Struthio camelus: one gene and its partners. The protein of the gene in region 3 purifies or fractionates together with the protein of the main gene of each other region. This does not show direct contact. Links are inferred from orthologs where the notes say so. Each region holds a gene or a part of one and is shown on either strand. Other genes may lie near its edges. The genes, in order: IGBP1, RFWD3, CCT2 and YAP1.

Region 1 (7,731 bases), on a different chromosome or scaffold from region 3:
GTTAAGTATGTGTCAGCCATGACCGCTGTGCATGTGCTGTATGGTAGACTAAGGAATTTCCAGGTGTGCTTCAGTCTGGCTGGAGCATTATTTGTGTGTACCGTGCTGTAGGGCCACACGCAGAAGCTCTAACACCTTCCAGGAAGCCTGGATGTACTTGTAACGTGTCTAGTGCTCCTGCGAAGCACTGGACAGGCCCTCTGGATGTGCAAAGCCAGATGTTCTGTACACATGCACGAAATGGAATACACCATGGCAGTCTTGGTTTTACTACCTATATAATGGAAAGCACGTGGGCATGTTTCATGTCTGGGAAATGATGGGTGGAAATATAAGGACACTCCAGAACCTGAGGTGAGATTGATCCCGGGACATTAACTTCATGCTGAGAACCTATGGCACCAAGACACCTGGTAGAGCTGGAGAGTGGAAGAGATTGATCCCCTGCTTGTAAAAAACTCCTCCTTTTCACACACAGTGGAACTAATCACAGCTACTATTCCTGTAGTCCCCAGCTTGGGGCTCTTTGTAGTGTGAATAGGGGCTTGCTAGATAATTATGCCTGCCAAAGAACCATTTATTTTTTCCTTGTATTAAGAACATTAGCTCTGTAATTGGAAGGGGCAGCTCAGAAAAACATGTCCTGCCAAGCAGACCTCAGTCAGCAGGAGAACAACATGTGTAGATATTTGCAATTTGTTATGTTGGGGCTGAAGACCAGCAGATTGTGGGTGATTTTGGTCACCAACTCTTACTTATTTCATGCTCCTGTGCTGTAAGTAAAACCTATTCTTGACCAATTGGAGCAACCGGTGAAAACAGGGCTGATTAACTCCTAGCAGGGAAATTCTTGAACTTCCAACCAGCTCAGAGGTGAGCTGAGCCACTCGGCTCTTAGAGGCAAGGCCTTCTCAGTCTCAGAGGAAACAGGGCCTCACACAGATTTTTTACTCTCTCAGTCTAGCTCATGTCTGATGAGCAGTGATAGTGTGTCTGAAAGCCAGTCCTGTGCTGCCCCTGAATATCTGGGTCAAAATAGCCCCCACGCAATGCTAAGGGAAGGGAAGCGGGGCTGGAGTCCCTTGCCCTGTCCTCAGCCTGTTTGCAATTATTTGGAGAGCAAGCCTATAGCTCCCTGCAAACCTCTGCTCTGGTTTGCTCCAAGAGGTGAAGGCCTCAAAAGGGCATGCCTATAGGAGATACTTGTTAACGATTAAACAGAGATTTCCTACGGGAAAGGTGATCTCTGAACTGCTCAGAGAATCTGTGGATAACAAAAAGGGTGAAGGAGTTCACTCTAGCAATCTCTTTCATTCTGATCCTTAACAGAAAAGTGCTGCTGAAATCTTGGCTCTTTGATAGGTTTATTGTAGCTTTTAATTAATCCACGTGTAAGGGGGAAGATGCTGTACTGATAGTGGCATTGCCTTTTTGTTGAAAGGGAACTAGTTTTAATTGTTAGGGATGCCATAGCATTTTGTGCTAGTGAAGAACGAATGGCTGTTGATTCCTGGCCCCGTTCCGCTTCCAATAACTATATTAATTAATTTTCCCACTGCTGGACAGAGTGTTGTTCTTCACTTCCTGGCTGGTATGCAGGAATACCACGTGATGACGTGTAAAACTGTTGACGTATCTCACAGTCCTGGCGCCTGTGTTTTCAGGCATGATCAAAATGGTCACACAGAGAGAGGATGACAGAATAGTAAAACCATTGGGAGTATATTCAGGACAAAGCATACAGGAACCTAAACCCACAATTGTTCTGTTTTTTATGATTAACTTTTTATCAAGCTTCCTCATGTATGTATGAAGAAGACAAATACAGTAGATGATAAACTGACTCATTCTAGTAGGTTAATTGCTTCAGGCCTGTCCTGAATTACTGTTGCACCACATAGATTTTTCACATCTAGGTCAATTACTTTTATTGCGCTTCTTATAGACCAATGTCAGTTTGTAGAAGTCCAGCTTTAACTCTTATCTGCCTTATCCCTATTTTAATTTCAGAGATATTGTAAGAAGCGACTCGGGAGCTAAAAGCAAGGGAAGGTGAATGGCTTTTTGTCTTACTTTTGTTTCCAAAAAAAAACCACACAGAGAAGAAAGGGGAGGCATTGCACTTATAAAATACTACACTGCCTGGGTGTACTGAATGCTGTGCATTGTGTTGTCTGGACTGTCTGTCAGATTTAGATCCCATGCTAGGCAGTAAGAGTCCAGTACAAGCCATTAGTGAATCCCAGCAGGGGCACTGGCCTCAGTGTCCTAAGGCTTAATGTCATTCAGACTCTTCCAAGAGGAGGATAGAGGACCACTGTTCTAGTACCTAGGGCAAGACGTGGTACCTTCATGACCTGTACGTTTGCCTGGGACAGCCTTGCCACAGCTGCTCTGCCTTAGGGTGGCCTTCAGGGAGGGCCTGCAGGGTCTCACTGCTAGCAATGACTTAGCTCCCTCTGGTGCAGCCACACAGACAAAACACACCTAGGTGCACACCAGCACCTTCACCGCACAGAAATGTGCAGGCTGCCACCACGCAAACCGCTGCGCTGGGAGATGAGAGCAGAGCACTGTGCAGAAAGACTAGCATAGGGTTCAGATGCAGAATGACTAATTAGCCTGCTCTTCAAACGGGCTCGTCAGGACAACATTGGTTATACTTATATAAAGCTTATGGTTCCAGAGCTTAAGCATTTGATTCCAGCTTGGCTGGTGCTGCATAGCACCATATTATGTTATGTAGACAAACTCCAGCCTTGCACTGCATTTTTCTTCTGGTAAGATGAATGGAAAGAGACTCACAATATTAAAAAGAAAAAAAAACAAAACAAAACAAAAAAACAAACCAATAATCTCCAGAGGTGTGGGTATTGAAGCAAAAGTCAAATGGGAGGCAATCGTATGAGTTCTTGGAAATCCAGGTCCTCTTGGTTTAGGATGAAGAATTCTGGTGAGCTTGTATTTAATGCTATCTACAAAAAAAACCCAAGGCCTAAAAAGATGAGTAACTGCTGTTATATATGGGGATGCACGTAAAGTAAGACAAACAGGCCATGAGCAAAAGCATCAGGTGGGAGGAAAAACCAGATTAGTCCAACAGAAACAAACTTCTGCCAGTTTTCTCTGTAAAGTCTCTTTATATTTGTGGCTCATTTGCTTGAGTACAATGAATGTGAGACATTGCTCTACGCTTGGCCAAGGGAGGGTATCCCCATTGGTAAAGAATCTCTTATGGCCAAAGACATGAATCATTGCTCCAGACACGTACAACACTGTTTTATTTTAAAAGGAGCAGAGAAATATAGTGCCTTTGAAATAAGTAATGTCCTCCATGGAGGCTCAGTCCATGCAAGCAGAGAGCGCTGACATTTGAAGACGGCCTTAGGAGTGGTATTGCCCTTCCCTGGGTCCATCCGCTGTGTGATCCCCTTCTCCCTCACAGTCATCACCTTGGCACCTTGGCTGCATTCTTCATCGTTTGTTCTCTTCTGCCCTCCAGTCACTGTCTAGCTCCCTTTCCCCCTCTCTGCCGCTGCCCCTGAACGCTGTGTGAATAACATGCCACTCGCTGCCAGGCGCAGGTTACTCTGCTTGTGCCTTATAACCCTTGTCCCGCGGTGCGTCTCCTTGTCTACAGACCCCGGAAGTTGTGGAGAGCTGGACCAGGCCTTATTTTCCGTTGTGAGACAGGATGTCACTATGGTGTCAACCTTAGCTGATGTATATGCTGTATGTCATATTAAAATCAGTCTGATTGGTAATGGTAACAGCCGGATCGGCAGAGCCAAAGGAAAAGTGGTTAGCCAGTTGCGTTTTCAATTTGTTTGTCCTTTCCAATCTAATTTCTGGCAAAATCCGTCTTCTTTGTATACTTTGGGCTCTCTATTCTCTTAAGAGCCCAATTTTAAAGTAATTTGTTTAGTGTCGATGTTGTTTCATAAATGATACGCTATTTTAACATGGTAGCTGCCTCTTTGCTGTTCCCACTCAACTCCCGAGTGGGAAGACGGCACGTTTTCTGACAATCCCGCTAATTATTGTTATTTCTGCTGGCTTAGAGGTTTAACGCCACCTCCTCCCAAAGTCTCCTCGGAGGTCCCCTCCTTGGCAGGTGCGGTAGCGGAGGAGATAGGCGAGCCCGGCGGCGACGGGCACGGCACAGTCTGCAAGCCAGAGGCCCGCGCGAAGGCGAGGGCGAGGTGCGGGGCGTGAGGGCGAGGTGAGGTGAGGCGAGGGGCGTGAGGTGAGGCACGTGAGATGAGGTGCATGAGGCTGAGGCGAGGCGCGTGAGGCGAGGGGTGTGAGGCAATGGGCGTGAGGGCAAGGCGCGTGAGGTGATGCACGTGAGACGAGGCGCGTGAGGGCGAGGTGAGGCGCGTGAGGGCGAGGTGAGGCGCGTGAGGGCGAGGTGAGGTGCGCGAGGCGAGGGGCGCAGCGCAGCCCTGCGCGCGGGGGGCCACGCTGCTGTGGCTGACGGCGGCTGCCCGACACCCCGGCCCCCCCACCCCACCCCACCCCACGGGGCCGCCGACCAGGGCGGCCCAGGCCGCTGCCCCGCGCCGCCCCCCGCCCCCTTCCCCTCCTCTCCTCACATGGCACCGCGCTCCGGCAGCGGCGGCCGCCCTGCCCCTACCAAGATGGCGCCGCTCGGAGGCGCCGCCACTAAGATGGCGGCCGGGGGGCGGGGCCGGAAGCGGCGCGACGCGACGCGGCGGCAGTGGCTGCGCTCCGTGCCCAAGATGGCGGAGGGGGCCGGCGCGGAGGGGCCGCGGCTGGCCGAGCTGCTGGCGGCGGGCTGGCGGCTGTGGGAGGAGGTGGAGGCCGGCACCGAGCCGTCCTCGGCGGCCCCGGCCGTGCAGGACAAGGTGCGGCGGGGGCTGGACGCCCTGCAGCAGGCGGCCGCCATGGTGGCGCAGCTGGATCTCTTCAGGTGAGGGGCGGCGGCGGCGGGGCGCGGGGCGGCGGGTGCGGGCAGCGGGGACGGACTCGGCTCTCTCGTCCCGCAGCGAGAACGAGGACGTGGAGGAGATCGCCTCGGCCGATCTGCGCTACCTGCTGCTGCCCGCCCTGCTGGGGGCCCTCACGTTGCGGCAGGTCAACCCGAGCAAACGGCTGGAGCACCTGGAAGACGCCCGCGCCCATTTCTGGCGTTTCCTGCGCCTCTGCAAGAGCTACGGCCTGGGCAGCTTCACCCTGCCCGCCGGCAGCCCGCCCGCCGCCGCCGCCCCGAGCCCCGGCCCGGCACCGGGCCCGGCCGGCCTGGTGGCCATGGCGTCGGCGCGGCAGGCCAAGATCGAGAGGTAGGCGAGGCGGTGGGTCCGGGGGGTGATGGAGCCGCTCTGCTGGCCGCTGGGCGTTCGCTGGCGCTTAAAGCGAGGGCCCACCGAGGGGTTGTGGCCCTTCGCGGCGGGGAGAAGCGGCTCGCTTGCCAGCCGCCTAACAAGTGTCGTGCAAGCTTTCCTCGTTTCTGGGCCTTTAGTCACCGCTGACTGCGTAAAGCCACGCCGTGTTTTAGCTTTGTTTTTCTTTTCACCAGCGCGCTTGTAGGTTGATGTTTAGTGAAGAGATGTGAAGCCTCTTCGTCATGCTTTACTTTAAGGCTTTTGATAATAAAGTCATCGTTGAGTGTAGCGGCGCAGAAAGGGCCCAGCTGGGTTCCACGAGCGCTTCCCTTGCACCAAAGCAAAACCTGGTTCCTCTTCCAGAAGGTAGTCGGAGATTGGGCTAGGCTAGGAGAATAAGTTGGAGACGTTCGGCGCAGCAAAACCTTTACGACGTGGGATGGGCGTCGTCAGCCACCTCGGAGCCGTGCGCGACGCCCCGAGCGAGCGTGGCTGCGCTGGGGGGGTGCCGCTGCGCCCGGCATCGTCCACCTGTAGACGCACCGCTCCCACGGCGCTCGTCTGGCTGTGCCCTGCCTTCTGCTGCCTGCGGAAAAACCAGAGGTGCCTGTGTTGAGAGTTTGGTTGAAAGCAGGTCGTTACTTGATCTGGGTGCAAGGTGAGGAGCTGCAATTGTATTTGCTTTCAGGAATAATCCATAGGCTGTACAGACGCATGTTGTTAAGGAGGCCTGTGTCTAGCCCAGGCCTGTGTCGTCCGAGCTGCCTTACCCTCGCTCTCCAAGCAGGACGCAAGCACGGTGCTCCAGCGTCCCGGAGCCCGTGGAGCAGGCTGGCGCTGCAGGAGGCAAGCTGAAGCAAACCTGCCCTGCTGCACGATTCTTCTAGGCTGCTTCTCCTCTCAGCTCCTGTAGTTTTCTAATCCTTGGTTCTTACTGTTCATTTCTCACTGTAAGTAAAGGAAGTTGGACACAAGCCTAAAATGTATCAAGTTGTCTTCCCCGCCCCCACCACGCACACACTTCCAGTTCTTATATCAGGTTTTTGTTTGTTTCTTTTAATCACAGTTTTGGTTTTCTGCAGATCAGAACTCTTCATGAATTAATCTGCCTTATAAGCAGCTTTTTGATAACTTCGTATAATGTAGAGACAATTCAAAATAGCTGTTGTATTGGTTATCTCAGTGAAGGAGCTGAAGAGTTTAATTCCTTTTTCTCCAGCAATTAGCCCTGCCAAGTGTGCCTAATTTTGCTTGAGAGGCTTAACTTTTTAGGTTTGCTGACCTCTTAGCACAAAAAATAATAATTGGTAGAGAAAAGGCATTTTAACTGTCTTATTGTAGCTGTCATTAACAATGAGGAGCTACTTTAAATTGGAACAGTAAACCGTCAGGACCTCCCTTTTGGTACAAAATTCTCTTCCTAAATATCTAATATAGTGTTAAAATGTCCTACAAAGAGTAGCAAAGATCCAAAGTCAAGTCTCAACTTGAGTGGACAGATGAAAGTGATGGGGTAGATCTTGGGAGGAAATGATATTAGCACTGTATGCATCTTTCTGCAAACACTGTGTGTTTTCAAAGCTTTTGCGAGTGAAGTGGATCTTTTCTGTATTTTTCCCTGTGTCAAAAAACTTAAATTGTCAGTCAGGTGGTTCTAATTGAGGTGGGTGGATATATCCTTGCGCTTGGTGTTTTGCCTTGTGCTCACACTTTAGAGGTCACCAGCAAGTAACCCTCAGTATGATCTGGTGCTGCCATTGGTTCTCTTCATAATGAAAATTTTCCTCTAAGTCATTGCAGGGTTGTTATTCTGTTGTTAAATGAATGGAAACTGCTTCCACGGGGAGGTTTTTCTAAGATACGGGGAGCTTTATGAACGTCTGGGATTTGCTTACGCTAATGAGCGATGATCTCCAACCGGCACCTATGTAAAAAGCGATTAAAATGGGATTGAGGCAGGAGGTAGCTCTTTCACTGAATTTGACTGAATTTCAAGAAAGAGCAAGTTGTTTATTTTAGAAAACGCAGTATCTGGGTTATGCTAGAGAAGGTTACTCAGACGATCTCATTTTATTCTCTGTGAACCAGGTATAAGCAGAAGAAGGAACTGGAGAACAGATTGGCCTCTATGAGAACCTTTGTGGAGAGTGGGCAAGCAGATGAAGATCAGATGCGGGAATTTTACCTCCTGCAAACCCAGAAATGGATCAACGTCAGCCTTGAGGAAATTGAGAGTATTGACCAAGAAATGTTCATTTTGAGGAGCAGAGGTACAGTAAAACAGGTACGAGATCTCTCTTGAACTGCAGATCCTGTGGACACTTAGACCTGATGACAGACACTGTTGCGGGTAAACGAACCTCAGAGGCAGAGTTTTGTAAGTTTT
Region 2 (7,067 bases), on a different chromosome or scaffold from region 3:
AGAAGGGAGGAGGCAGGACAAGGTAGTGGGGGTCATTGCTGACGAACTCTTGCTTGTCTCGTTTCAGCTTTGGGATCGTGCTGTGGGAGATCGCCACCTCCAAAATCCCATTTGAAGGTGAGATAAAAGCATCTGGTCCCCCTGTGTGAAAGCAGCGGGGCCCAGCTAGATCGCTGGCCAGGGTCAGATACTTGTGCTCCATTGCAGAGCACCCAGAGGCATGTGGGTCCCCATGGCAGTGCCCAGGATGCCTGGGTCTGCCCAACCTGCAGCACAACAGCCTCTAAACGTGGCTTTTCCCAGGACTCCAACTCCAGCACAGTAAAGCTTTTCAGCACATGCTTAAACCACAAGCGTGCAAATGATTCTGTCTCTGTTTGATGCTCCTATGCGCTGAAGCATAAACACATCGCCTTGCTTCACTGGAGCCCAGTGGCGTTATGGCAGAGAAGAGGGGTTCACTGCAGACACAGTTCGGGCGGTTTCTGTGCTGGCTCCTCTGCGCTGTAGGCTGCAGGAAGGCTCTCAAAGTGGCCTTGCACTGGCTTCCCTGCCCAGCAGCCTCCTGTGGCAGCAGAGCTCTGCCATGCCGGCCTGACGTGGTTGGTGTGTGTGTGTTGGTTTAGGCTGCACTCCCCAAGAGATCAGGGAGAAAATCTGTGAACACCATTATCGGGAGCCTGTTGGGGAAGACTGTCCCAAAGACCTGGAGAAAATCATTGACCAGTGCCGGGCCTTTGACCCTTCCCAGCGCCCTTCTGCTGAGCGTAAGTGTTTCTGCGCGGGCTCATCTCCCTAGCTGTCTGCTCCTTCTTCCAGTCCCATGCTACCACATTTCCACATTGCTGGGCTGTCCTGCACTTCCGCTACCCAAGCCGAAGGGACCCATGTCTTCTGCTGCTGCAGCAGATGATGGATGTCTGCTCAAGAGCAGCAGTAACGTGAGCTTTGCCCCCTTGATGGGTGTGTGGGGGGGGGGAGGGGGCGAAGACAAATGCCCAGATTTGTCTTCTTTTCAGCAAATAGCTGAGCCCAGCTTTCTCAGGGCCTCAGGCTGCCAAGGTCAGCAATGCATTTAAAAGGGCTGTCCTGCTCTCCTGTCCCACTGGTGTGTGACACAGGGCTGATGGTCCTATGCAGATAACCCTCCTGCCTGGCCATGCTGCTTGCCTGACTCTCTGTCTTCTCAAAGAGCACGCTTCTCTTCGCAACCCCATCCATAGCCTGTTTCCTGGACAGGACCCGGTTGGGAAGGAATGGAGGATCAGTGGCAGCAGCTAACTCAGTGCTGTGGCCCCTGAGAGCACCAGGGCACCCAATGTGAAAGGGTTTTTTTCAAGTTGTCCTGTTACCCAGGGTGCTGCAGCCTTCATTGACCGGTTGAGTGAAAGCACATACAGTTTTAGGGCTAGCCTAAATCCTGCGCTTTCCAGCCTCTGTTTGCATGCAGACGTGTCGTGTAGGTGTCTCCAAGGATGCGCTTCCCGTGCTTGCTCAGTGCCAGCAGCACTCCAACTCCTCCCTGTCCAACAGATTTCCCAAGCCGACGGCAGCCCTGCAGCATAGGAGACCAATTGCAGGCAGGTGCCTGAGGCTGAAAGATTTTTTTTTTTTGCTGTTCACACTAGCAGTGGTATTTAGTGATAAACTCAGTCCTTGATCTCCCGGGGCAGAACATTTGTCAAGTGAGGCCTGGCCATCAGAAGTTTCCAACTTGGGCCAAAGGAAGAATTCTTACTAAGCATAGTCTAGATTTTAAACCCAGGAAAAAAACGCTGTGATCCCTGATCCTGTGCTCTCAATAACACAGAGGGTCAGATCCAAGAATTCCCTTGACAGGATCCTTTTAAAGGGGTTGTCCTGTCATGTCCGAGAGCTTTCAAAGGATGGCAAATCCATTCTGTCGCTCAGTGGTTCACAGAATCACAGAATGGCCACGGTTGGAAGAGACCTCTGGAGAGCATCTTGTCCAACCCCCCTGCTCAAGCAGGGTCATCTAGAGCACATTGCCCAGGATCACGTCCAGGCAGGTTTTGAATATCTCCAGAGAAGGAGACTCTTAATTTGTCCCTTTCTGCTTTCTATTTGAATTGGACTGGGTTTCTCTTTCAGCCATCACTCCTTGTCCTACCTTGTTATGCTAAGGAGTCCCCTAGCAATAAAAGTCTCTTTCTCCTGTAGATAGCATGATGGTTCACCCAGTTAACATTTGTCCATGCCATGAAAATAATCACTAGGCTATTCATTAGGCATCATGAAAGAGTAAGCAGTCTGTCAGACAAGCACTGGGCTAGGAACAGGAGCCATGGGTTGATCCTCGCTCAAATCCTGCAGCTCCTGTAAGCTGGAGGAGCAGTCACAACACAAGACAGGAACATTTCCTGCCTTGGGCTTTTAGCAATAAATTGCAATTTCAGGAATTGTTCTGCTCTGGGGATGATTTCACTGCCTCTGAAGCTGGTCTATGTTTGCATCAGATAAATAATTGATCTCAATCATAAGACTTAACAGATGCAGCAGAAAAAGATAAAGAAACCTTTCTGCTGTGCTTGAAGGCACAAGTGACTGAGATGATAGTACCTTTTCCTCAGTCCATCATCTTTCCAGGGGGAGAAAGCGTCCTTTAATCACTCCCACCACTACCAGCTCGATATCTACACAAGAGATTTGGAGAGTTTGGGTAAGAAACCCCCCCCAGCTCTTGCTGTGCTCTCTGCATCTCAGCCTCTGAAGAGTGGTTTTCTTAGGAAACCCTGCCTCAGGGAATGGCCCGCTCTGAGAGCTGCTGCTAGGAAATGCTGAAAATCCTCAGGTTTATTGGCTCCAGCAAAGTTAAACCGAAGACACACTGTGTCTTCAATACTCTAGTCCTACCCCATGCCCCCAGCCCGTTGCTCAGCTGTGCCTGCATGGTGCTGAGCTGAAGGAAGTCTTCTCACAGCTCTTTCCAGGCATCTGTCTGTGTCTACGCCTGCTTCTCTCTGAACTGTGCTCACGCGTGCCTCTCCGTTCAGGGAAGTCACACCTGCAAGGAACAGCACAGGCGCGCTGGCGCAAGGCGGCTGTTAGGCTGGCGCACAGAGCGATTTCACCTGCTAGTTTTTGTCAGCCAGGAAGAACTATCTATCTCATGAGAGAAACCCCCCCCCTGCTGACAGCGGATACTCTGTTTCCATTCAGACGGTCCTTGTGTTTTGCAGAAATCGTGGACTGGCTGGCTGACCTCAAGAGAAGCAGAAACCAAGGAAGCTAACTGCAAAAGACAGGCTCAAGTGACCCCAGGAAACCAGCCAAGCAGCTTCAAAAGCAAGAGAAGAGCAACGGTGTGCCTCCCTCCCGTAGGCCTGACGCGTGAAGCTTGCCCCTCTGCCCCCTAGTTGCAACGATCGATTGTTCAATACACCTTTTATGTATTTATATGGCAAGACTCGCAAGTCTGCAAGTAGTCGTGCCTGCTAGTTTGCGCCTTGGTTTCGCCACGGAGGTGGCTGGCGAGCGCTCGGCCACTGGCTTCCCGGTGCCTCCAGGTTTGCCGGCGGCAGGCCTGCGCCACGCTGCGCCAGGGAAGGCCAGGGGCCTCCGAGAGGATCCTTTCAGCCCGGGCGAATCAGGGGACCACGATGCGGCCAGCTCGGGGCTCCCTTCGCCGAGGAAACCGCGGCAGGCGCGGGCCGCGTGTCCTGGGGGAAGCGCCGCCACCGAGCCAGGGGCTCGCGACGGGGAGAGCGGGCCCCGCCGTCGCCATGGCAACGCCCCCGCCCTCCCGGCCCCTGTTTGAATCCGCTCGGGCTCCCGCTCATTTCGTCTGAGCTGCGGCTCCTCCAGTGAAAACGCACTTCCTGGCTCTTGGCCGGCCCCCCGCCACGCGCTGCCCAATCAGCACGCCGCTCCGCAGCCCCCCTCCATCGGCTGGCCAGACACCCGGCCAATCAGGGCACCAACCGCCTCTCCTCCCCGCCCCGCCCCTTCTCCCGCTGTCTCTCGGGCAGACGGACAGAGCGGCTCGCCAATAAAAAAGGCTCGTCTGGCTTCGGCTCGCCCAATAGAAAGCGTCTCTGCAGGTGCGGGAGAGGCAGCTGGCCAATAGGGCGGCGGGGGTGGTGCTCCAGCGGCGCGGCGCTCCAGCGGCGCGGGAGGGGCGGTTGGGGTCCCGGGAGGTGAGTGCGGGGCGGCCCGGTCCGGCCTGGGCCGCTGGGCCCCCCTGCAGCGGGGGCGGCCCGGGGGCGACGCCGCCCACGCCGCCGCCCTGGCAGGGCCCTCCCGGGCCTGGCCCCGCCGGTGACCCCGGGCCGGCGCGCCGCGAGGCCTGGGCGCCGGCTGTGCCCGGGGCGGGGGGCTTCACGGCGGCCGCAGGGCCAAGGGGGCCCGGAGCGCTGCGGGCCTGGCGCGGGGCGCGGCCCTGGCGGCGCTGCCGAGCGGGGCGCAAGGCCCCTGCCGCCGCGGGGTTTGTCCCGCGCCTTTTGCCAGGGCCCATCGCAGTTGCAGTATCCCCTCAAAAGGCACAAAGAAACCCCGTCATAGAGGTCGAGTTTCGCGGCGTGCTGAGTTTTGGTTATCTTTGTGTTAAAGCAGCCGTGGAGGAATAAAGGCTGGCGATGTGGAGGCAAGCCTGAAGGTCCGTCAGAGCAGCACGGCGCGCTGCGGCGGCCAGAAGCCCCTGCGCAAGGGGAAGCTTGTGCTTCAGCGTTAAGCTCTCGGGTTAGTATTACAGCCGCCTGTGTGAAGCAGCCTGCTGTGCTGGTACTCGGGCTTCTCTGCGCGAAAGCGCTCCGACTTTTGTGACCTGGGCCCAAGAAGCTTGGCTGTGGGGACATGTAGGCCCTCCCTGCTAGTGCCAGGTGACTGGCTGTCACGGGGAAGCACTGATCTTTACGCCTTTCACGAGGCTCCAAGGTTTAATGGTGCAGATGCCAGTATTACCTCGTCTTTTATGAGGAAATATGAATGGCGAGTTAGCCCAGGATGGTTAATTTATGTAATATTTTTAAGCCTCAGTGTTAATTTATGAGAAAATAAGGAGTCTCTTGTGCTTTTGGGTGGCAGTTTTATGAGTTTAGTGCTAGAGAAGCAGTATAGCTGAATGTTATCACAGGAACATGTGGTTGAACTTTATTGTATCTTGATTATATGACTGTTTATTCTCGTGGGGGGACAGGGTTTGGCATCTCCTCTTTGCCTAGCTTGGGTCGAAGTGTTATTTAGGTTAAGACTTATAAAATGCTTCATAACTTAGAGTTTACAAAAAGGTTTATAAAAATACATTACCATTAGTACATCTCCCTCTAGTAATTCATGTATATATTTTCCTAGCTATCCCTTGTGCTAGAAGAAGTCTTTGCTCTGTTTGCACACGGCCTAGCCTAATAAGTTTAGGTGTGTGCTTTGGGCTCTTAAATTTAAGGCTAAAGGTCTACCATCTTCAAGGCCTTTCAGATTTATGGTTGCCTAAGTATCTTTTGAAGATACAAATAACCTTCAGCATTTTGCAGAACTTGACCCACCCTCAAAAAAAGAGGATTGTTTGGTATACTTAATTATTCAGTTGAAAAAATCTTGCTTTCTTGTGTTGTAAGACTGCAGAACCACAGGTCAGCTAATGTGCTCTAATTCTGTGGCAGCTTGATTATTAGCAATGCACAGCCTTTTGCCTCTTCTTTTTTCCTTCAAAGCCTAACATACTACCTCTTTTTAGGAGGTTACCTGCCGTCTTCATCTCAAAGGTGTTTGGAAGGCAACCATGCTTAAATAACACATGAGTTTTATTGCAAAGTTTTATGTTTTTTTAGTGTCAGACTGGATATGGCTCCACAAATACTGATACTGTAGGTGCCTTACTATCCACGGTGTCTCTGTTTTGGGTTCTGGTATAATAAATACCCTTATTGGATTTGTATGGTGTTGATGAAGTAATTAAAAGGTGGGTAAGGTTCCCAGTGAGCTGTTATTGTAATGGAATTTTATTTATCTATGAAAAAACTTTAAAAAAAAAAAAAAACTCTCCTCCAGAAGGAGCAATGCAATGGACAAAGGACTGTGCTGTTCAGCTGGTTTCTGGCTGTGTTTGTAGGTGTCTGTGTAGCGCCTGTCGCTGTAGAGACTTTAGAGCGTGAAAGCATTTTCCAAACTCTGTACTCCAAGACCCAAATGTGTTTACCAGCAAGTAGATGATACCAGCAAGAAATCCCTAACTGTCCACTTTCATCTGAAAGCTAACTTAAGTCGACTAGGTAGTGTTGAGCCAAGGGCTTCAAAATCAAGGACCCTGGGAGGGCGCTGCCTTCTGTGTCAGCTAACATACAGCTTTCGACTTGAGACAGCCAGTTTAGCTTTGCAGCGTCTCTAAAGCAAAAGGACCTATGCTTCTCTAGTCTGAATTCTAAAGGTTTTTGTAGTGACTGACTGATGCACCCAATTCATGCCACCATAATGCTACAAGCAGGCACAGACTTGCAGGTACTAGTTGTTTTTTATCAACTCTTTACAGAAATGGCTCAAGAAGAGATGGAAGTTGATCTGCAACCAGTGGCTGGTTACCACGTAGAGAACCACCGGGCGCTTCTCTCAGAGCCCTCTCATCACAGAGTACCACATACTGCAGCGCACAGTGAAGAAGGAGATGTTGTTACAGTTCTTCCTGCTGATGGAGCTGTTGTGATATCAAACGCTGATACTACAAGGACTGCTGCTGACTCTGACCAGCGGTTGGGTTCTGCCTCGGCTCTCCGTGGACTGCAAAGGCTACGGGGAGCATTTGATCAGCATCAGGTATTGCCTGGGCTGCAGATCACGCAGCGTCCGCAAGTAAGAAGAGCTCGCAGGCAACAAAGAATTGGTGGTTCCCAGAGGACAGTCAGTAGCAGGTAAAGCAGAAATGGAATTGGGTCTGAACCCTGTCTTATCACACCTGTGATACCGGTTTAAAAAGCGTTGTGCTTCCCGGCTTACGGAGCCCAGCTCGGTCCAGTGTGTGATTATGGCCGAATTCTGTGCACCTCGCATCTTTTGACCTGTGTAATGGCACACTGTTGTCTGATCTCTTCTTGCAATCTTTTGCTCCTCATTAAATT
Region 3 (7,639 bases):
TCAACTCTTAAAAAAAATTACCTTTTTTTTTTTCTTTTACCCCCTTATTTAGTACTCAAATTTAAGACTTGCTTTGTAACTGAATCAGTTTTTCTGTTCCAACTTAACCTCTGGTGCATGGAAAGTTTATTCTTCTATGAGCTAAACACTTGAAAGGTTCTTGCTGTATTTTTGTGTTTTGGTGCAAGAAGAAGTTGTTAATGTTTTTCCTTCTTTAGCAGGTATTTGTTATGTGGATTCCAGTTCTGTTGTTTAAAAATAAGTTACATTGTAAGGCACTTTTCTTAAAAGGATTTTGGCTTTTTTTTTTTTCCTGTTGTATTTATAGGAATCTTTGCCTTTAAATGTGCCCGTGCAGAAGAGCTATTTAATATGTTGCAAGAGATAATGCAGAACAATAGCATAAATGTGGTAGAAGAACCAGTAGTAGAAAGGAATAATCATCAAACTGAATTGGAAGCTCCAAGAACCCCTCGAACACCTACCAGTAAGCGTGGTTATACTGTTGAATGGCATACCTGAAACGTAATGTGATACTTAGCTTTAAATTGGATTTTTAAATGTACTTAACTAATGCAAATTAAATGCTATTTTCAGCTAAGAGATTAACTGCCAGTAATGCAGTCCCTTGAGATACTTCTGAGGACTTTCTTTCCAGAATCTGAAGTCTTGGGAGCAAAACTGCTGTAGTCAAATTCTTCAGCTTGAAAAACTAAGCTTTGCGACCTTAGTTTTTGCACCAGAACACTGCTTAAGTATATGCTTATTCAGTTGCTTTATAAAATATCACCATACTTTTCTTCTAGCATTGTTCAGATATGTTACGGTTAGGCAGTGCTCCAGTCTTTTTGTTAGGGAAAAAGTGTAATGGTCATGCCACGTCTACAGTGAATTTGGAATCTTTTTTTTTTTTTTTTTCTCCTCCTATGTATAGATGGTTAGGTAGAAAGAAGCCCTTTCAAAACTTCTGGGGACTCTAAGGTAATCCTAGGCATATGGCTTAATATCTGACAGTAGGAATTCCACTTTATTGCAGGTTACTTCAGAGAAATAGAAGTTTCAATGAATTAGGTCCTGGTTTTTAGGGAAACATGTTAATAGTGGAAAAAAGAAGTCGGATGGGGAGTTTATTGGGATAATTGTGGTTTACAACACAGGTAGATTTCAGTGACTGCTTCAGACATGTTTTCAGGTAAACACTGGGATAGTCTACTCTGAAGTTTGCTTTTCCCTTTCCTTCCCCCTAGCAAAGTTGAGCATTGTGACTATTTAATACTATTTTACATGTTTTGATTCCTCTTTTCAAAATTGAGGAGGATGATCTAAAGCATCTTGTTCATATACAGTAAAACGTTTCTATTCTAATATGGTTTTGCTTGTTTTCTAATTTAATCAGCTCCTGGGTTCAATGCGCAAAGCCTACCTAATGGCTATCCCAGATATCCATCTTTTGGAGATGCTTCATCGCATCCTTCCAGTAGGCATCCTTCTGTTGGAAGTGCACGCCTCCCCTCTGTTGGTGAAGAATCAACGCATCCTTTACTGGTAGCAGAGGAACAAGTGGGTCTTTTTCTTTTTCCTTTCGTATAATTGGTGTTCAGCATCCGTTCAGATTTTTATGCTGGTACTGTTAGGCTTGCGTTTTCATTTGTGTTTTTCAGTATCAGGTGTAATGTATTTTTCCCATATGTTAATTGCCTCAGAAGAGTGTTTATATTGCCACTTGAAAATCATACTTTGCTGGGGAAGAATAGCTATTTTAAGTTGTTCTTTATACATATAATAAAGATAAAATATACCCAAATAGGTAAATATATATTTTACATATAAGCTTTTTATTTCAGTAGCTATGTCTTAAACACACAAACTGTATTTTATGATTAAAGATCCTAGTCAAAAAGCTTCTTTGCAAATAAGCTTTCTGTACATAGACTCATAGAATAATTTAGGTTGGAAGGGACCTCTAGAGCCCCTTGGCAAAGCAGAACCAAACTCAGGTCCAGTTCTGAAGTTAAGAGCAGGCTGCTCGGAGCCTTGTCCAATCAAGCTTTGAATACTCCATGCAAGGAGATTTCAGTGTCTCTGGGGTGTGTGTTCCAATGTTTGACTGCTCTCCTCTGTGAAACTTTTTTCCCTAATACGTAGTCAGATTTTTTCCTGTTCCAGCTTGTGTCCGTGACCCCTTATCCTTTTGCTGGACAACTCCAAAAAGGGCTGGCTCTGTCTTCTCTTTAACCATCTCTTAAGTGGTCGAAAACAGCAATTAAATTGCTCCCTAGCCACCTTTTTAAAAAAAAAAAAAAAAAGTGGAGAGTAAGAAGGAATGAAATTTAAAAAAAAAAAAAGAAGTGTTTGAATTTTTTTTTCCTTCCCCCCCCCCCCTTTTAGGTGCACACTTACGTCAACACTACTGGGGTACAAGAGGAAAGAAAAAATCGATCAAGTGTGCATGCGCCACTGGAATCAAAGCTTTCAAACACGGAAACAAATAAAGTGAAGGAAGATCAGATGTGTACTGATGACAGAGACGCTCAGGTTCTCCTAGAGCCTGAAGGAGTCAAGTTTGTTTTAGGACCAACACCTGTTCAAAGGCAGTTAATGGAAAGAGAGAAACTGGAGCAACTTGGGAGAGACCAAGTTAGTGGCAGCAGCACAAACAACACTGAATGGGACACGGGGTACGACAGCGACGAACGCAGAGAAACACCGTCTGGCAATAAACTGGTTTATGAAAACATAAATAGGTTATCAATCCCTAGTGCCTCAGGGGTCAGGAGAGGTCGTCTGACATCAACCAGTACCTCGGATACCCAGAACATTAACAACTCTGCTCAAAGGAGAACTGCGTTATTGAACTATGAGAACTTGCCATCCTTGCCTCCTGTTTGGGAAGCCCGCAAGCTGAGTAGAGATGAAGATGACGGTTTAGGACCAAAGACCCCATCTCTGAATGGCTACCACAATAACCTAGATCCAATGCATAATTATGTCAATACGGAGAATGTAACAGTACCAGCAAGTGCTCATAAAGTAGAATTTACACGACGTCGGGACTGTACCCCAACAGTCTTCAACTTTGACATTAGGCGTCCAAGTTTAGAACACAGGCAGCTCAACTATATACAGGTTGACTTGGAAGGTGGTAGTGACTCCGACAACCCTCAGACTCCAAAAACCCCCACCACTCCACTTCCGCAAACTCCAACCAGGCGCACAGAGCTGTATGCTGTGATAGACATTGAAAGAACTGCTGCTATGTCAAGCTTGCAAAAAGCACTGCCCCGAGATGATGGTACTTCTAGGAAAACTAGACATAACAGTACTGACCTGCCTATGTGAGCCTGGAAAGCATTAAATCATTTGCACCTTTTGTGAAGTTTATAAAATTGAAGATACAAGTACTTTGCATTTGTTAACACGAACGCCTTTTATAGACTAATAGAAGTTTTTCTGCATACTTCATGTACTTGTCTAACTAAAGGGAATTAATGTAGAGCAAATATTCATTTAAGTAACACTATTTCGTTCTACAGTAGTAGTAATTACTGCATAGCAGCATCGCCACCTTTCACAGTGCCTCTTTAAATTTATTAGAGTCTGAGTGACGTGCCAGTTTTGAATCTATAAATATTCTGGTCTGGTGCCTGTAGTCATTAATGGCATTTATAACACTTTTCAAAGCCTCTTGATATGTGCATTATTAGCAGGTAAACCTAATCTTTCAAGGTCCATATCTTCATACTCGGTCTTCGTTCACACGGCTCCTCCAGAGTGAAATGTATGTAATTCATTAATTCACTCAGTTTGACTTACACAAGATATCTTGGTTCATCTCAAGGGATAGAAACACCACACCTTTTATGTTCGGTTTTTATATATATATATATATTTTTTTTTTATTTTTATTTTTAAGACCACATGGGCAAGAAGGCCTCAAATTCCTTAGCTTATGTGATGTCTGAGAGGTCATATCAAAGCCTGCTTGATCAGAGCTGCAAATGCATCTGAAACCAGCCTTAAGTCACTTCTGCCAGAAGAGAATTTCAAGTGGTGTATCAAGTTCCCTTTGAAATCTGACAAAACGTTGCTCTCATTAGTCTTTTGTGAAGGAATTCACAGGTTGGCTGTATGTATTAAGGCTCTTTTGTCATTTCTTAGTTTGATGTGCCTGCCTGCCTTTGCAGTTGTGTTTCTTTTTACCTGTCCTATAATGTCTTGTTTTAAGAGTCAAAATTTTGTACATAGCTTTTATTACTGTTCAGGGTTGTTTGTGTGTTTGTCTTATTCTCTGCATTTGACAAAGAAAGACTCTTGGGAGGTCAAATGGTTGTCTTTGTCCAGTGTTGTACTTTTTTACGCCTGACAGGAATATCCCAGCTCTCCAGCAGGATGCATTATTGCACAACTGGAAAGGTTTATTATGCATTTATTGTCTTCCTCTGAAGCATCAGACACAGGTTACACGGGAGGCAGGGTACTGGACTTGATAGTTCTTTATAGCAAATTGTACGTTCTAGCAATGTGCACCCATAGTTGATAGTACACTTTAATTTAGAAAGAATATGTAGTAAGTTATCTGAAGGTAGTATTATCTATGAGCATACTTCTTTTCCTTTTGCAGTTGGTGAAGTTGGTTACAATAGTAGCTGCTCAGTGTTACAGGTACATCCAGGTAGCATGCTTTTGTTGAATATGCCAGATGCACCCTTAGCTGTTGGTTGTTTTGTTTGTTGTAATTCTGAATAATTTTAGAATTCTGGCAGTATTTCCAGTACACCTGGGTATTAGCAGCAGAAGTGATTACTCTTGAGCCAGTGATTGCAAAGGAACTGACACTTGTGTGTACTGGTGTGTTTGGAAAAAAACAAACAAACAAACAAAAAAAAACCCTTGAACTGTATGTGAGGAAAACGTGTAAGAAAAGCCATTGGAGGATCTGAAAAAGAATTAAGGGTCTTCATGCAATAGTTGAATGGAAGTGTTACTAAAAACTATTTCCAGTCATGTAAATTGGAGTGTGTTCCTGTTCCCTTGTTAATTTTTCTTTGGTCTTCTGTCAGTTTGGTAGTGGCAACAGTGACAGCACCTGAAATACATGTTCCTTGTCACTTCTTTAAGGGATAATATCAGGCAACCTTTTTGCTCTGAAAGGTTTTGATTATTCTTTACAGACTGTATGGTACTGAAATACCAGATGCACAAAGAACAATTTGCAGAAGTGAAAGATGAGTCATTGAGACCATTATGAGAAAATGAAGGCGATCAAAAAAACTTGTCATTAGTGATTCCACTGTCGGCCTACGCATAGTATTGTGATGGGCTCATTGACATCTGGGGAGAACTTGGTACTCAAGAAGGTAAAGACTAGCTAGAGCATTTTGCAGGTCTGCAGTGTTACTGCTCCTTCGCATCTTTGCCATTGCCTCATCTTAAGCTGTGGACCGGTCTTGGTCTGTGCTGAAGAGAGATTACCAAGTGTTGTGAAATATATTAACGATTAACGATACTGGTGTGATGCTTGTTCCTAGCTTATAGCTCACTTAAATTTGTGAGCCATACTAACCGTGCAGCATGTGTTTTGAGGCAAAACTGTTTGACCTAGCTAGCTGCCTAGAAATGTTTGGTCCTCATCTGTATAGCATGAGTGTCTCAGAAGTACAGGTTAATTTGTTCCTTAAAACATACCTGTGAGGCAGGGAAGTAATACTCTTAATTGACAAATAGAGGAAGAGACTTTAGGTACCTTGTAAGTGACCTGCTGAAATTCCAGAAAGCAAACGTATTCCTCCTTAGTTCCGGTACATTGTCCTGTGCATTTATACTGACTAGTCTCAGAGGCAAAGGATGGTCCGAGTAATTTTTTTTATGTTGCTGCAAGTTTGCAAGTCGCAGTACTTTGTGTGTGAGGAGGTGTTTTCCGAACTCTGGTGCCTGGAATTGAGGACATAGTGAAATTTCAACTTCTGTGCTTTCTGAGTGCTTAGTCCTGGCGTTTTGTTAGTATCTTCAGTAGAAAATACATCAGGCAGAATTTAAGGGAAAGCCGCCTATAGCCTTAACTATGTTAACCGGTCTGACACCATATTTTCCAGGCATCTTTTTACCCTCTTTCATTCTGCAGGTGGGATAATGCTTTCTCATTTTGTGTAAGCTGGAAAAATACTGCGTAGTCCTTGTTCCCCGTCTTTAGCGTTCTTTCCTTTTCCTCCTCTTCTGCCCTTTGCAGTAGATGTAGTTGCAATGCACTTTACCCTTGGAGACTTGGTAAATATTTTTGCAGTTCAGTCTCTTTAAAAGGTTGTCATGTTAGACTTACTGTCTGTAGATCTAGGGTTCGGTTTTCAAATTAAATGTCTCCACAGTATTTAGATCATATTTATTTTGGGCTCACAAGCGTATAGAGCGAGAAGTTACAAATATGTAACAATTTTCTTTAATAATTGAGACATGTTAATTCTACATGAACTTTTGTCCTGCGAAAATGGCAAGATCTACTTCATTCCACTTTTCATCCGTACCAGGCAATTGACTGCTACTCTTCAAGTAAGACATAAGACTAGGGGAAGCCTTAAACTGTAGATATTCCTGCAGTGCCGTGATTTGAGAAAGACATAAATTAGAGTACCTTTTAAACACGGAAGTTCTTTTTCAATTTATAGAAATAGTAAAGCTGGAGCAGTGGCCAAAAATACATAATAAAGATTGCATCGGAAATACCATTGATGAGAATATAATCCATTAGTTATATCAGGAAAATATTGTTTTCCTTCTCAAACTCGTACCAAGAAGAGGTCCAATTTTAATTTTGTAGTGTTTCTCAGTGACTCCATAAAACAAAAGAAAAAAGACGGTTCTGAAAACTTCAGCTATCCTTAGAACGCTCTTGTTCAAGGAATATTTTTAAAAAGTAACTATACAGGTGTACTGATGAGTACAGTTTGCATACGATAGGTGTTGAATGTAATGGTGTGCATTCTCAAACCCTGTTCCTATTTAGGTCTACAAAACTTGACTTAGAAGTGTATGTGTTTAAATAAACATTTCATATCATAAAATACCTTTTTTTTTTTCCTGAGATGTTTAGATATTTTTGCATGTTTAAACCTCTGACAAGGATTTGGATGTAACAAGGTCCACAGAAAGGTCTGAGCTGTACAAAGCCCGAAACAATGTCAGAACAAGGTTGCTCTTTTGCAGGGGACAGACTAGCAGCTGATTTTGTTGGATTTATGCCCGTGTGCATTGGCTCGAAATATGGCTATACTTGTCTTAGTTTTATATGTAACTATGTTCACAGTGAGACAGAATCAGGAAAGAGCAAGTTGCCTACATGCACTGATGGCGAAGTAAAAAATGCAAGTTCTGATTAATTTCAGTTACTACTTTGAGCATATAATGTTGGGTCTGAGTTGGACCTCTCTTAGCAGTATTCTCTTCCTCATGTAAGGTGGAATCAGTGATGAAATGCCATTTCTGCCCTGTGCTAATTTGTTTACGGCTGCAAAATAGATGAAACTGATTGACTAGGAGTCCATAGTGGACTTAAATTTGAAATTTCCCAATTTTCCCCGCAAGAAACCAAAAGAAGCTTGGTCCTCCAGTTTGATAGATAGAATTAGGCATTTCTGGAATTGAAGAA
Region 4 (7,253 bases), about 170 Mb from region 3:
GTAGAGTGTTAAGGCAATCTTAATGTGGAGGTGACAATGAATGAGCCAGATTTTCTTAGTTTGTATCTGAAAGAAATGGACATAACCTTTTGGCCTGACATAGAAAAGAACAAGCTGGTAAAAGTTGCTTGAGAATCAGCAGAGAAATAAGAGGAATCCACATTTTTGCAAACTATGTAATGGACAAAATAAATGGACAAATAAATGTATTTGGATACCTGTAAAAGTAGGAATGATATCAGGAATTAAGAATTTTATGTAACTTCTTCTTGACACCACCACTCCCTTTTTATTTGGTTTAGGCTGTGGCTAAGAAGACCTTGTTTAGGAAACAATATTAAAAAAAAAAAAAGCCTATTAAAATCAGATAATATAGAAAGATGAAGCTGGCTGTCATCATCAGTATACCGAAAATTGTGTCTCATGCCTCTTTTCTAACAAATCTGTTTCCACAGATACCTATCTCAATAGTGTGGGCGTGTCAAAATCAGTGGTGGAAACTGATCTCATCTTTGAAAGTGCTATTGTATGTTTAAAAAACAGCTTCAGGGCAGTTTTATTGTTTCAGTAGTAAGATCTCTTAATCTAAATATTTCAAGGTATAAGGGTTCATTTATCTGTTTCTGCAGATCTGTTAGTATCAAAACTCTGTAGACCAGGGCATCTCAAGAGAAATTTTAAGTTATGTGACCACAAACTGTTGAACTCCAAGCTTCATAGCTTACATATAATGAATCTTCATTAAATCTGAGGTATTTGGATATTAATTGGTATTTTAGAACTTTCTTTACCTGAACCTTAACTGTAACAGTGTTAGAAATCTCTGTAATAAATAGTTTATGCACAAAGTCTTTTTAAAAACTTATTGATAAAATAATGCGTTTTTAAAGATGTTCAATGTATCTTTCTTCATTACGCTATGCATTTGTACTCTTGAAATCTTCGGCTGAATATCTATGTTCTTGTAGAAACAAATTAAATTGATCCCACTCTGGCATCAGTAAATCAAGGAAGTGTTACACCAACTCCACATGTTTGAACCAAAGTTCAAGCTGGTTAGATTCATGTTTTATTACTCTATTACCTATTACTCTAAAGACAAGAGTAACCCTATGTAAGTTCCGATGGTTTTATGCTGAAGTGTTTTAGTTTTTCTTTTTAAACGACCTTTTTACTGACTAAAATTAAAGAACCTTCCCCCTTACCTTAAATGATATAATATTTATTTTCCTGCTGTCAAGCTTGGTATATTGTTGAGTTTTTTGAAATGCCATGCCACCACAACTTAGCTTGCTTTTTTTCGTGTTTTGTTCGGCAAACTTTCGGTGTGCTGTCACTGCTTTTAAACGGTCAAAAACTCAACTTACGTTGGTTGATTCAGTAAGGACTGCAGACATGGGATTTCTAATAGCAATGGGAAATCAGTTTAATTAACACTCACATTTTGATGTTGGTCTTCTCTTCCTTTTTGGTGGGCTTAGGTTATTTTTGTATGAAACTCCAAAGACATTGTGATGCTGAGTACTGTAAAACGCAACTTAAAGCTTGCTCTCTTTAGTGAAACTGAGAATCCAGTGTTTCATGCACCTGAATCCCTATACAATGCCTGAATGTAGCTAGATGTCTTAAAAATGGAGCCACAAAGCTTGTATGCTGTGTTGCTTAAAACAGAATACTATTTTTAACTTTCTCTATTTCACTGTTATCAGAAAATAATGAGAATAAATGTATCAAATCTCTGCCTCTCTTAAACAATGCTTTTAGGGAGTTGCTTATCTTAATTTAAGATTTATGGTCTTGAATAATTCCTCAAAGGAAGAACATGTAGTATGGAATTCATTATCTTCTAAATAACAGGAGAGAAATTTGGGTGCTGATAACAGCCACTGGATAAAATTCACAAATTGTCCCTGGACCAGAAAATGGAAACGAGGTCTTTTCCCTCCAAGTTGACTGCCTTAGCCACTAAGATAGGGTGTTAAGAGTTTTCATGATTCCTTGGTCCAGAGAAAGACGGATTCTGCAGAGTAGAAGAGCTTCAACAGAAGAATGAGAGAGATGTGCTTCTAAGCTGGAATACTGTGTAGTCTGGGAATTTAAAGTTTTCCTAGAGGAAAAAAGGACACTATATGCAATATGGGAATTTACTCTAGTAAAAAAGGGAACAGAATTTACATATCTTCTAATACTGTGTAAAGTTGTAGGGAGCAGAAGGAAGCAGTTACCTGTTTTAAAAGAAAGGAGGTGTCTGCTACATGCTTGTTCATCTGTTAGATGTTCAATTACAAGACTGAATGCATCAAAAAAGAAGACATCTAATTTCTGAATCCAAGTAGGATTTGAGGCGGGTGACCAGCTTTACTGCTCTGTCAAGACTAAAGCTTTTATTGATATGTGCAGAAGTAGGATGTTAATTTGAAGAACCTAGTTTTCATAGTGTTGGTTGTCAGCTGAGTGTAGTTTTTGGAATGAGAAATTTGGAGTTCAGCATCTAAATTCTGTTAAAGCACTTTGTGAGAATTAGCAGACTTTTAAATAACATTTTGAAGATGTTAATAAGAGCTAGAAAGAGAGTTTTTCTTAGACACAAATATTGGAGACTGAACAGATGCATTAACAAATGTTAAGTGAAAAAGAATTATTGATAGAACAACTTTTGTTATTAATATATAGTTCCTAAATATTTTTCTATTTCAAAGGACACATGATTGGGTCTATGTATATTTAATCGTCTATATTTTAGGCTCTAATTATATATTCATGTGCTTACATGCTTAATTTTACATTTGCAATGGATTTTACATTTCCATTCAGGGTATTGGCACTGTTCAGACGGCTAGAGCTACTTACGTCCGTGTTGTAATGTCAGGACCTTCAGGGGAGATGTGATAAAACTACTTAAATAAACTCCGGTGTGTTTGTTGTGTTATGCCATCAAATAAATTGTTACAACTGAAACAGAATGATACATTTTATTCAAATTGTATGAATATGCTCATTGGTATCCATGTTGTCATTAACAGTTTCTTTTTCCTCTTCCTCTCAGGATGAGAATGGCCTATGTTATCCTTCAAACAAAAGCCATGAACAGACATTTGCCTATTTGATTGTGGACCCTTTCAAACGACACGTCCATACGTTGTATCATTGTTTTGGTGGAAGCTTCTTTGGAACCTAGTTTATTAACCTGGTTGTTCCCAAATTTTATAATAGAGGTGTTGCTCTTTCTGCATGAATTCAAGTAGAAGTCGCACGGTTTTCTTAGGAGGAAGCATGTACTCCTTCATTACACAACCTCTGAGTGGTTACATGTTTTATATCGCTGTTACTGTGCGGTTAGCGAAAAAAAGTTTTGTATAATTTTTGACTAGTTTATTTTTAGAGGAATACTTTCTGAAGCTGTTTGCCCGATAGTTGTGCCCCCTCTTCCCTCACCCGCGTTATCTAATAAACGGCATTTCTCAACATGTCTCGTCCCTGTTTATAAACCCTTTCAAGATCCGCGACGCATAAAGTCAAGGAAGGGGAGGCTCCGGAGTCAGCGAAATCTCGGCGGCAGTGGGAGAAAGTGCGTCAGCCGCCGCCGCCGCCGCGCTGCCCCCGGCTCCCCGCGCCCGCTCGGCCCCCGCGCCCGCCCGGCGGCGCCGCCAGGTGAGCGGGCGGCGGCGGCAGCCGCAGCCCCCGGCCGCCCCCTCGCCCCGCGCGGGGCCGCCCGTGCCCGCCCCGAGCGCCGGGGGCGCGGCCCCCACCCCCGGGGCGGCGGCTCCCGTCCCCCGCGGAGGCGCCGGGGTCGCTCCCGCTGCCGCTCCCCGGGCCGGGGCCGGGCGGGGGAGGGGAGGGGAGCCGCGCCGCGCCGCGCCGCGCCGCGCCGGCCGCTCTCCCCCCGCCCCTGGCGGAGCGGGCGCCCCTGGAAGTTGGGATGAAACTTGCGGGAGGGGGAAAAGTTCTGGTTGACTGAACTTCTTCGCGGCAACGCAGTGCGGGCGGGCGCCAGTGGGAGAAGCGCCCCCCGGGGGCCCCGGAGGGCGCGGGGAGCGTCTTAGGGGAGTGGGGGTGAGCCCACGCGCGTCTCGGCGCGCACCGGCGGCCGGCTGCGCGCGCGGGGGGGGCGGGCAGCACCCACGGCGCGGGGCGCCGGCGGCGGTGCGGGCGGGCGCGCGCAGGAGAGCCGCTCGGCACAGGCTGCCTCCGTCCGAGACGGTGCGGTGCGGGCGGGCTCAGGAGGGGCGGAGCTGGCTGTGGAGAGTGGTTCGGGCGGGCGTAACTCAGAACTTTTGTTTGGCGTGTTGTGTGAGTTAGTTTCCGCCGCCGGGACAGAGGCGCCGGCCGGGCTGGGCCGGGCTCGGGGAAGTGCCGCACGGCCAAAGTTGTTTTGCCAGTTGCTGCTGCCGGGTTGATTTCCCCGCTGAGGGGTAAGGAACACCAGCGAGAGCAGGACGAGCCGCAGCCCGGGGAGCGGGGCATGCGGGGCTGGGAATCGGGGCTCTGAGTCGCCGAGCCCCGCCAGGGAAGCGCCGGGGGGTCCCGCCGGAGCCATGGATCCCGGGCAGCCTCAGTCACAGCAGCCGCCGCAGGCAGCGCAGCCCGCGGCGCCGCAGCAGGCGCCGCCGCAGCCCCCCGGCGCGGTGTCGGGGGCCCCGGCCGGCGCGGCGCAGCCCCCGGGTGCGGGGCCCCCTCCGGCCGGGCACCAGATCGTCCATGTGCGGGGCGACTCGGAGACCGACTTGGAGGCGCTGTTCAACGCCGTGATGAACCCCAAGGGCGCCAACGTGCCGCACACGCTGCCCATGCGGCTCCGCAAGCTGCCCGACTCCTTCTTCAAGCCGCCCGAGCCCAAGGCCCACTCCCGCCAGGTGAGGGGGAGGGGGGCCGCCCGGGCCGGGCCGCGGAAGGGCGGGCGGGCGGGCGGCGGTGGCGGCGGCCGCCTCCCCCCCGCCGCGGAGCTCCTCCCGGGGGAGGCGTGCGGGGGAGGGGGGCCGGGGCCGGGCGGGAATCCGCCCCTGCCGCGCGGCCGGGCCGAGGGGAGGGGGGCGCCGAGGCCGGGACTCCCGTGGGGGAGGGGGGGTGGGTGTCGCTCCCTTTCTTCCTCCGGCTGCCTTGTGGGGGAGTCCTGCTCCCTCCTCTTCCTCCTCCCCCGCCTTATTTGTTCTTCACAGAGTGTTGCGGGGGGGGGGGGGGAAAGGGAAGGGAGGCGTCGCGCGGCTCCTCAGGGCGCTGAGGGGGAGCCGGCCCCGCGGCGGGGCGGCCGTTGGTGACCGTTGGCACCAGCCCGGCCCGGCCTGGTCCGTCCCGGTCGGCGGCGAGGCCTCCGGCTCCACATCCGCTGGGCGTCGAGCCCCGTGGCTGCTCTCCGGGTCTGACCGGAGCGGGTGGGGGGAGCGGGTGGGGGGAGCGGGGCCCCCGGCACCGCTGGTGGAAGCGCTTTGCTGGGAGGACCGGCCGCGCGGATTGCACTTTCTGGCCTAATCCGGCGGCGCTCATCCGTCCCCGTGGGGGAGGGGGCTGCGGAGGCCGTGCCCCCCCTCCCCTCCCCTCCCCTCCCCTCCCCAACATGGATGTAGATTTTCCACCATTTCATCACTGCGCCGGGCTGGGCAGGAGTCGTGCCCCCCCCCCCCTTCCCCCGTCAGAGTGAGTTCCGGAGCCCGGCGCTTTCTGTGCGTGTGGGTACCTTTAAGTCTGGCTGTGTCGAGGGTCCATTAAATTAACCGTCGGTGCGTTGGGCAGACATGATGTGAAAGCTTAAATCTCGGGGACCTGAACGGACACGAGAAACTGGTCTGCCGGTTTGCAGTGCAGGCTGAGTAGGAGATGCAGGATAGGGCCAGCGCCGAGGCACTGCTAGCGTTTGATCTTCTAGCAGAGTGACTTTTGTGCCAAGACCGAAGTGTTGGTGCAAGTATGACTGAAAGTTAATGTTTAGGCTGCTACTGCCAACTTTTTGGAAGGAGGTTGTTCCTACTGGAGTGTTTTTATTAAGTAATGAACTTTGTTGCTAAGCTATAAAATAGGTTTTATTATTGGCTATTGTCACTTTATCTATGTAGCCAGTAGGAGTGAAACTTGCTCTGTGTACTGGTGCCTGGTACTCTTGTTGTTAAGGGTCTGTCAACATTTCCATTATTAAACTTCTGTTTTGAAGGATTTATAACTTGGCTTCACAAGTTTACTCCAGGCTGAACCTTGGCACATACTCTCTTAGGCTAGGAGTTAATTCATTTTCCAAATACTCGAAAACCAATCTGGCCTTTATATTGTAAGACCGAAAACAAAATAGAAAGAGGTGGGACTGAGTTGCTTCTGTATTTTTGTTTGCTTCTGAGTTGCCAATCTTTGAATTGTTGAATAAAAATCATATCGTTTCATCAGCATTAATAACATGCTGAAATACACTGAGGAATAGTGCAGTTATTACATAGCTTTTACTCAAGTTATGCAAGTTTTATCACAGTTTGATTATGCACGGCGCTGGTGTAAGTTCATCTACTGCTTATTGCTGTGTCCTGTTAAATACAGTGAGTGCAGCTAAATGGCTCTTGTATTTGAAATGCATTTAACTTGTACGACGTTCATACACCATGTACTTTTAAGCTTAGGGTTATCTCGCCTGTATATATTGCTCTACATCCGTAATGCATACGGCTTAGTTGGATCACTGTTTCTTGTACCAGTTGGTGGTTGTTAAAATATAAACTTAAAAATCCAGCTGAAAGTAGAAAATCATTTATTTCATTGTTGACTCTCTTTTAAAAAGTCAGGCTGTCTTAATTTTCCTTTTTTGTTCGTTAGTGCCATAGCGATATTCTGCCTAACAGAAAGGGTCTTTAGGTTTCTGTAATTCTTTCTCTCTGTTTCTCAAGAATAAAAGCACCTCACGTTCAAGTGAATTGCAACTTGTGCATTTTATTAAAATCTAAGCTAATTCTTTGAAATACGTTTCCAATTTCATATATGAAACTTTGTACTCACATACAGGCTTAATGAAACAGAAATGTCAGTCTCCATGAGAATACATAAATGGGGCCTCGTGTATGGTGCAATACCTTGTGTAGAGAGGTGTGGCAATGGCTGATATATGCAACTTATTATAGGTGTCCATGTTGTTCTGGTGTATCTGCAAAAAAGAATTAATTTATGAATATATGTAAAAGTCAGCCTTATTTGAACTCAATTTTCAAAGCTGCTTTTCTGTTCTGTGGTGGACGCCTATCTGCTGACGAAGTAGTTCTACGTAGTTATGACTGGCAGCTTTC

Evidence for each region.
Region 1: the proteins of CCT2 (region 3) and IGBP1 purify together in Homo sapiens (affinity purification with mass spectrometry; 4 studies listed by BioGRID and IntAct, with this or other methods). This does not show direct contact. The link is inferred for Struthio camelus from reciprocal best matches to the Homo sapiens genes CCT2 and IGBP1.
Region 2: the proteins of CCT2 (region 3) and RFWD3 purify together in Homo sapiens (co-immunoprecipitation; 3 studies listed by BioGRID and IntAct, with this or other methods). This does not show direct contact. The link is inferred for Struthio camelus from reciprocal best matches to the Homo sapiens genes CCT2 and RFWD3.
Region 4: the proteins of CCT2 (region 3) and YAP1 purify together in Homo sapiens (affinity purification with mass spectrometry; 3 studies listed by BioGRID, with this or other methods). This does not show direct contact. The link is inferred for Struthio camelus from reciprocal best matches to the Homo sapiens genes CCT2 and YAP1.

What each region holds. Positions count from the first base shown.
Region 1 is NC_090952.1:27,588,249-27,595,979, reverse strand, and holds the start of IGBP1 (immunoglobulin-binding protein 1), read left to right. Parts: upstream 1-4,730; 5' UTR 4,731-4,742; coding exon 4,743-4,933; intron 4,934-5,009; coding exon 5,010-5,303; intron 5,304-7,433; coding exon 7,434-7,629; intron 7,630-7,731. UniProt on the Homo sapiens protein: Associated to surface IgM-receptor; may be involved in signal transduction.
Region 2 is NC_090951.1:22,426,899-22,433,965, forward strand, and holds the start of RFWD3 (E3 ubiquitin-protein ligase RFWD3), read left to right. Parts: upstream 1-4,067; 5' UTR 4,068-4,157; intron 4,158-4,569; 5' UTR 4,570-4,698; intron 4,699-6,484; 5' UTR 6,485-6,486; coding exon 6,487-6,860; intron 6,861-7,067. Other genes in the region: MLKL (mixed lineage kinase domain-like protein), read left to right, coding at 68-117, 627-767, 3,201-3,253. UniProt on the Homo sapiens protein: E3 ubiquitin-protein ligase required for the repair of DNA interstrand cross-links (ICL) in response to DNA damage. Plays a key role in RPA-mediated DNA damage signaling and repair.
Region 3 is NC_090942.1:40,739,198-40,746,836, forward strand, and holds the start of CCT2 (T-complex protein 1 subunit beta), read left to right. Parts: upstream 1-4,637; 5' UTR 4,638-7,639. Other genes in the region: FRS2 (fibroblast growth factor receptor substrate 2), read left to right, coding at 329-487, 1,397-1,560, 2,389-3,339. UniProt on the Homo sapiens protein: Component of the chaperonin-containing T-complex (TRiC), a molecular chaperone complex that assists the folding of actin, tubulin and other proteins upon ATP hydrolysis.
Region 4 is NC_090942.1:208,824,728-208,831,980, reverse strand, and holds the start of YAP1 (transcriptional coactivator YAP1), read left to right. Parts: upstream 1-4,247; 5' UTR 4,248-4,535; coding exon 4,536-4,853; intron 4,854-7,253. Other genes in the region: CFAP300 (cilia- and flagella-associated protein 300), read left to right, coding at 3,047-3,178. UniProt on the Homo sapiens protein: Transcriptional regulator with dual roles as a coactivator and corepressor. Critical downstream regulatory target in the Hippo signaling pathway, crucial for organ size control and tumor suppression by restricting proliferation and promoting apoptosis.